Callithrix jacchus: one gene and its partner. The protein of the gene in region 1 purifies or fractionates together with the protein of each later gene. This does not show direct contact. Links are inferred from orthologs where the notes say so. Each region holds a gene or a part of one and is shown in the gene's direction. Other genes may lie near its edges.

Region 1 (3,645 bases):
GCTGGTCTTAAAATCCTGACCTCATGATCTGCCTGCTCTGGCCTCCTGAAGTGCTGGGATTAACAGGTGTGAGCCACTGCGCCCAGCCAAAAAATAATTTTCTAAAAGAATGTGGTAGTCACTAATATTAATAGCGACCCTATATTAAGCACTTAATGTATGTTCTATGCAATGGAGATTACCCATATTTTGCAGGTAAGGAAACGGAGGTGCAGACAGGCCTATGAAGCTTTATTTTGATTTGAGCCTCCATGGTTGGTGAGGAAGTTGCCTGGGCTGGGTAGAACACCTGTGAGAGGTTCTGGAGATCTGGGAGGCCCCCATCATCAGTTAACCTCTATGCTTTTTTTTTGATTATGGAGTCTTGCTCTGTCACCCAGACTGGAGTGCAGTGGCTTGATCTCAGCTGACTACAACCTTTGCTTCCTGGGTTCAAGTGATTATCCTGCCTCAACCTGAGGAGATGGGACTATAGGCATGTGCCGCCATACCTGGCTAATTTTTGTATTTTTTTAGTAGAGACAGGGTTTTACCATATTGGCCAGGCTGATCTCGTGATCTGCCCACCTTGGCCTCCCAAAGTGCTGGGATTACAGGAGTGAGCCACTGGTCCTGGCTCCTATGTCTACTTTTTAGTAGGTCTCCTATATTAGTGATAGATTGTCCTGGACTGTTGGGCTCTTGGATGAGTGGTCACATAAGGGGTGTTACTCAGGGTCCCCATGGTCTTGGCATAAACTTGTGCAGCCCTGATGATGGGATATGTTTGTTTCCTAGGCCAAAATCAAGCAAAAGCTGCGGGAAATTGAAGAGAATCAGAAGCGGATTGAGAAACTGGAAGAATACATCACCACTAGCAAGTATGTAGCTCTGCAACTGTCCCCCTTACTTCTAGGCCTGTTCTTGTGACCCTGCCTGTCCTGCCCCTCTTCACAAAGGACCTCCAGAGCCTCTCTGAGCCAGAAGTGTTTTCTCACCAGCAGGAGTAATTCCTATGTGCCCTCACTTTGTAGGCAGTCCCTAGAAGAGCAGAAGAAGCTAGAGGGGGAGCTGACAGAGGAGGTGGAGATGGCCAAGCGGCGTATTGATGAAATCAATAAGGAACTGAACCAGGTGATGGAGCAGCTAGGGGATGCTCGCATTGACCGACAGGAGAGCAGCCGCCAGCAGCGAAAGGCAGAGATAATGGAGAGCATCAAGCGCCTTTACCCTGGCTCTGTGGTAAGAGCGGAGAGGGAACTCATTTCCTGAGCGCTTAGACTCACTGTCACATGATTTTCCCAGCAGCCCTCTGAGGACAGGGTTGCCAGTCCCATTTTTATTGTTGTGGGAATTGAGGCTTGGCGAGGTTTAAAAAAGCAGTACTTCTAAATGAAAGAACTGTAGTACAGACCCAACATGTTCTCCTAAGCTCATGTTAATTTTTTTTTTTTTAATTTTTCAAATGAGTGCCTGTCATACTAGGCACTCATGTTCTTTTCATCATACCAATTGCATCTTTCTGAAGGGTTTGTTTTGCTGTGTCCATGCCTCTGGGAGAGGAATTGGAAAACCAGGGAAGATTTTGGAAGCATATGGGGCCACAGGGCTGGAATTACTCTCCCAGGAGGTAGCTGTGTGCGGTCTTCTATATGGGCTCCCTTGGCATGTACTAACCAGCCCAGTAGCTTTTAGGGACACCCTGAGCTTTATCAGATCTCTTGATCTTTTGGCCTCTTTCACCAAATCCTGAGTTCCCAGGTTCCCTGAATATTATGCCATACTTGGGTTCAATTTAGTTGGGTTCCACAAAACTCTTCTAGGCACTGCTGGGGAGATAAGTATGAATTAGAGTCGGTCTCTGCCCTCTTATGTGATAGTTCTTAGGGAACCAGGCTTGGCTTTGGAGGCTGCAGGAAAGGAACTGGTAAAAGATATTTATTTTGAGATGGAGTCTCACTCTGTTGCCTAGACTGAGTACAGTGGCGTAGTCTTGGCTCACTGCATACTCCACCTCCCAGATTCAAGTGATTCTCCTGCCTCAGCCTCCCAAGTAGCTGGGATTACAGGTACCCACCACCATGCCCAGATAATTTTTTTGTATTTTTAGTAGAGATGAGGTTTCTCCATGTTGGCCAGGCTGGTTTTGAACTCTTGACCTCAAGTGATCCGCCTGCCTTGACCTCCCAAAGTGCTAGGATTACAGGTGTGAGCCGCCACACCCAGCCGGATTTATTTTGCTCAGGGCCTAAGAGAATTTGAAATAATAAATATAAGATATTTGGCATAGTGCCTGGGTGACAGCAGTGTGTAAAATGGTAAATGTGAGGTTTAGAAAGATGATTTTGGATTCAGACACGACTGCCTGAAGTCATTGCTTGGGAGCCAGAATAGGCTTTTGCTTTATAGCATGGGAGCTGTTTTCTTCTGTGAGACAGGAAAAAAACCAAAGTGTTTTTTCTACTCTCACACAACCAGCACAACACTTCACTTCTGACACCAGAAGTGTGGGGGTTTTTCCTCACACACCAGCAATTCTCCAGCAGACACCAGCTGGGTGACCTATAATTCAGTTCAACTCTAACACTGTTTATCTAGAGATAGCATCAGATCCCACAGGTTAGGGGCTCAGTCCAAGATTTCAGATGCCAGTTGCAAGTCTCACATTGTGACTTGTGGTTCTGACTGACCTATAAATTACAGTTCCTGAGAGTCCCTGCCTGGGTTCAATTAATTTACTAGAGCAGCTCACAGAGCTCAGGAAAATGTTTTACTTACATTTACCCATTTATTATGAAGGATATTACAGAGGATACAGAGAACAGCCAGATGGATGCATAAGGTAAGGTATGAGAGAAGAGGTGTGAATCTTCCAAATGCCCAATCTGGCAAGCCACCCTCCAGGTACCTTCACACAGGTGTTTCATTATGTAGTCATGATTGATCAAATTATCAGCCAACAGTGATCAGTTCAACCTTCAGGACCCTCTCCCCTCCTGAAGGTTGTGGAGGTGGAGCTAAGAGTCCCAAATCTAATCAGGCCTTGGTCTTTCTGGTAACCAGCCCCTATCTAGAAGCTGACTATGGGCCTCCAGCCATAATCGTCTCATTAATGTGCAAAAGACACTGCTCATTTCCGAGATTCTAAGGGTTTTAGTTGTGTGTCAGGAACTCTGGTGTAGAAGACTAAATATGTATTTCATAATACCACAGTCCACTCTGGTCTTCAAACACAGATCCCTTGCATCAGAACAATCATGTAATGTAGAAAGAGGCAGGGAGCAGTGGCTCATGCCTGTAATCCAAGCACTATGGGAGGCCAAGGTGGGCAGATCACCTGAGGTCAGGAGTTCGAGACCAGCCTGCCAACATGGTCAAACCCCTGTCTCTACTAAAAATACAAATATTAGCTGGACATGGTGGCGGGCGCCTGTAATCCCAGCTGTTTGGGAGTCTGAGGCAGGAGAATCGCTTGAACCCAGGAGGCAGAGGTTGCAGTGAGCTGGGATTGTGCCACTGCACTCCAGCCTGGGCAAGAGTGAGACTGTCTCAAAACAAAAAAACAAAAAAGGTAGAAAGATACTGGCATGTTAATAGAATTGCGTTCAGTCATAATTAATAGTTAGTCCATGATATCATGAATATGTCTTTTAGGGCAAGGCCATT
Region 2 (4,073 bases), on another chromosome or scaffold:
TTCATACAACATGAATTTCGTCCCGGTTGAGTAAAAATCCGCTTACCTACTGCACTTTTTAACCTGAAGAATAGCCCCCTTTTAATTTACACAAATTTAATAGAGAACTGTGGAACGACGGAGTTACTTCTTGTTTTACAATTTAAAAACTACAACAGGCACGGTACTGCACGTATATTACATTTTGTATTCCAGCCTTGTCCAGCGCCTCAGTGTTCCAAACCTAAAGAGGAAAACGATGTTTGAAATCAGCTGGCTGCAGTCCCGCCGGTCGCCCGCAGTCGCCGGTGGCCGAGTAGGGGCCGGTGGTTCTCCCCGCGTGCTCGGCTCCACCCACACCTAGAGGCGGGCGCCGGGTCGGGCCGCCGCAGCCCAGCTTCGCGCCAGCGCAGCGTCGCCTACAGGCCTTTATCCCTGCTGTTAGCGAAGAACCCAAACCTCCGCCGACAAAAATCAAGAGCAGCGGACACCGCGCATTTCCAGAAATAAACGTATCACAAACACCATTCCAATTCAGTCCAGTCGAGAATCGTCTTCACCTCCAAGGGCTGCGTTCTTACTCCGCAGAAATTAACACGCAGAAGGGCGTAAGATCCTGGCCTCAAAAGGAGAAGAGTACGTACGATCCATCCATCCACCCGGCTGCAGGGACACCATTTAAAACCGGCACCATCGCCGTCGAATGGCGAGCGTCTTCTGTGGGGCCGCCCAGAGCTCCGCTCCCTAAGCTAACGACGATCTGGGACAGCCAGCGCGGCCTCCAGCCGCCGCCGTCGGCGACCTGCGAGCACGTCCGTGCCTGAGTGCCCCCCACGCTCACGACCACTGCCGAACTCGGGCCTCGCTCCCATCGGCCTCCGGGAAAATAAAGACCGAGAAGAGCCGACCCGCCCGTGTCGCGGGGCAAACGTAGCTCTGAAGCATCGACAATACTGGCAACATCCACAGCCGCCCTGAGGAGAAGGGCTTAGAGGAGAGCCGCCGCCGCCCGGCTGGGCCCCGGCGCGGCACTGCCGAGGACGCGAGCCCAAGTGGCAGTGGCAGTGGCGGCGGCGGCGGCGGCGGCGGCGGTGGCGGAAGTGGAGTGGGGAAGAGGGGGTGGTTGTTAGTGTTTGGCGCCGGCGGAGGGAGTCATTCCTGCAGCTGCACTTCCGGTCGGCATTTTGTTCTGAGAGGGAGAGACGGAACGAGAGAGAGACACACACAGGGCTCCTTCCCCCCACCCTCCCCCCCCTCCCTCCGTCGGTACCGACTCACCCGACACCACCAAGCCGCAGGGAGGGACGCCCCCGCCGACAGGAGGATTGGTTCCCGGGCCCGCGGCGATGCCCCCCCGGTAGCTCGGGCCCCTGGTCGGGTGTTTGTGAGTGTTTCTATGTGGGAGAAGGAGGAGGAGGAGGAAGAAGAAGCAACGATTTGTCTTCTCGGCTGGTCTCCCCCCGGCTCTACATGTTCCCCGCACTGAGGAGACGGAAGAGGAGCCGTAGCCACCCCCACTCCCGGCCCGGATTATAGTCTCTCGCCACAGCGGCCTCGGCCTCCCCTTGGATTCAGACGCCGATTCGCCCAGGTAAATTCCTGCTCTTTATTTCGGCGGCGGCGGCGGCGGCGCCAGGTCCTCAGCGTCTCTCCTCCTCGCTCCCCTCCCCGCCGTTTCCTTAGCGGCCCCAGGTCTCTTCCACGGGCGAGTCTAGAGTTCGCTCCTCTCTGGTGGCAGCCGCCTTGGGTGGCGGTGGTTTTGTACCCTCTCCCGGCCGGCTCCGGTGGCGGGGACTGGGCTCCTGCCGGGCGGCCGGGGAGGCGTAGGCCCGGCGGAGAGTGCAGGCCGCGGGCCAGCGGAATCTACTTGAGCTCGGGGATTAGGAGAGCTCCGGGCTGAGCGGAGCGACTGCTGGTCGGTGACAGGCCTCGCCCGGGAGAGGAGCTGTAGCTAGTGAGGAGGCGGAAACAATACAACTAACAGCAAATGTGCCCTGACCGTCCCCATATTTACAACTTTCCCGGTCCGGGAGTGGGGAACGTCCCAGTGAAACAAACAACCCCCCTTCTTCCCCCTGTGACCCCATGAAGGGAGGAAGTAGTTTCAGTTAGTGAGACAAACGTAAATACTCAGACACGGATCCCGAGGTAATTCTTTCTCTTTGTAAAACTTGTTTGGACGTTGGAAAGTTCATAAAGACTCATTTTCTTTTTTGAAGAATTAAATCGTACGCATGAATATTTAATACATAAAACCATACTATGGTAGACACTGCACATCTCCCCCTCCAAGAGCTTTTTATCTTGTTTGACAGTGTGTTGTTGCCCATGGACTTTTTATTCAAAGACGAGTATAAAGTACTTGACAGGTTTACTCTGCCACTTTCTATTTGTATGCGTTATGTAAGGGCAGTTTTAAACGACTGTACATAAAACACTCAGGTACTTCCTGACCAAAAGGTGTAGGAGCATAAAAAGAATTTTAAGTGTTCTCAGAATTGTGCTGAGATACGGGTAAAACCAATTTTCTTTTAAGAATAAAAAAAAAAGGAAGAAGAAAAAATTAAGTTACACTTAAAATCTTTGGGAGGTTGAAAAATTGTAGAAGGTGCCATCCTTTCATGTCAGGGCAGTTCTTCTTGAGGTCCCAGGATTGTCATTGGCTGTTTGTGCCATGATGTTTGACTGTGTAATGAGAGAGGTGTCATTTTAATAGGTCAAATGTATCTGTAAATGCTGGAGAAAAATGTCAGTTCTAACTTGACAAGTTCTAGTTCATGAGTAAGTTACGTGTTTCGAGCTTATTTATGGAGGCGTTCGTAATATAAGTTGGTATAAGGGGGAAACATCAATTAAAAATTCCTCAGGCAAATTGCTAGGAAAATGTACCTGGGTTACACTATTTTGATACTTTGTTTCATATTCGCTGAAGGAAAACTTTCTCTGGTTAAAATCAAGTGGCACTGCTCAGCGAAATCTCTTGTTTTACTAGTTTATGTTACATTGGTTCAAATTTTTTGTGTCATTAAATTATTGTCACTGTAGAGTGAGTTACTTTGTGAAGGTTATTTTTTAGTTTAGCGTCCTGCTTACAATAAATTGTTCCACACTTCCTGCAAATGTACGGATAAATGCTTAAAAGAATGAAGTTAATATAGCTGTCACGTACTAGGCATGTTTTTAATGCTATAAATCCGTGTAGTAGTCAGTAGCGTGTCCGTGATTTGTATTGGTCAGGGAGCAGTTTGAATTTTAAAAAGCCTGAAGCTCCTGCTGAGCCCCAATCCCGGCCTCCCTCCCTCCCACTAATCTCCCATTCCTGTCTTTGTGCTGCCTGCTCCTGTTAGACACTGTTTGCTACGGGGCCTCAGGCCTACTGCGGGTGGGGGGTGTGCGAGTGGGGGGCATGCCAGGGAGGGAATGCAGACGGGGAGAACACATCTTAAGAAAGCAGAGGGTTTGCTTTTTTGGTGATGGGGGTGATAAGGACTTCATATAAATGTTTCAAAGGCCCTCATATATTCCTGTGATTATCTCTACAACTTTTATTTAATTAAAATACTAAGATGTATATCAAGGGATAAACATATTTCTTCTAAAGATAATGAAAAGAGGAGTTCTGCTTGCTTGGTTTTCATGAACTGAAGCAACTTATTTTTAGAGGTTGTCTTAGGAAGATATTTGAATAAGTGCGTTAGATATTGGGTTTATATGACTGATTCATTTTTTCTTAAGACTTTGGAACTAAGTTATCGTGAATTAGTTCTTCGCAATTTGTTTTCCCAATTCTACATATTAAGTAATTTGTAAGTAATATAGGTTGTGTGGTAGCTTTCATTATATCTACAATTCAAATTTCTTTAAATTTCAAAATATGTTTTGTTTGGTTCACGCCAATTAAATACGTCATTTTTAAAGGAGAAAACATTGTGTAAAATTCATATTGTAAAATTTAAAGTAGTAACCTAGTTGGAGAAAATAATTTGTTTCCCTAAAGAGGATAAGTCTATTCTGCTTCTCCTCTGTTGGTTGGAATATTCACCAGTGGCTAATCATCTATTTCCATTTTTTAAAAATTTAAATTCAGTGAAAGG

Evidence for each region.
Region 2: the proteins of SMC1A (region 1) and NIPBL purify together in Homo sapiens (affinity purification with mass spectrometry; 3 studies listed by BioGRID and IntAct, with this or other methods). This does not show direct contact. The link is inferred for Callithrix jacchus from reciprocal best matches to the Homo sapiens genes SMC1A and NIPBL.

Annotation. Positions count from the first base shown.
Region 1 is NC_133524.1:53,761,654-53,765,298, reverse strand, and holds part of SMC1A (structural maintenance of chromosomes protein 1A), read left to right. Parts: intron 1-777; coding exon 778-860; intron 861-1,013; coding exon 1,014-1,221; intron 1,222-3,645. UniProt on the Homo sapiens protein: Involved in chromosome cohesion during cell cycle and in DNA repair. Central component of cohesin complex. The cohesin complex is required for the cohesion of sister chromatids after DNA replication.
Region 2 is NC_133503.1:168,714,858-168,718,930, reverse strand, and holds the start of NIPBL (nipped-B-like protein), read left to right. Parts: upstream 1-1,160; 5' UTR 1,161-1,570; intron 1,571-4,073. UniProt on the Homo sapiens protein: Plays an important role in the loading of the cohesin complex on to DNA. Forms a heterodimeric complex (also known as cohesin loading complex) with MAU2/SCC4 which mediates the loading of the cohesin complex onto chromatin.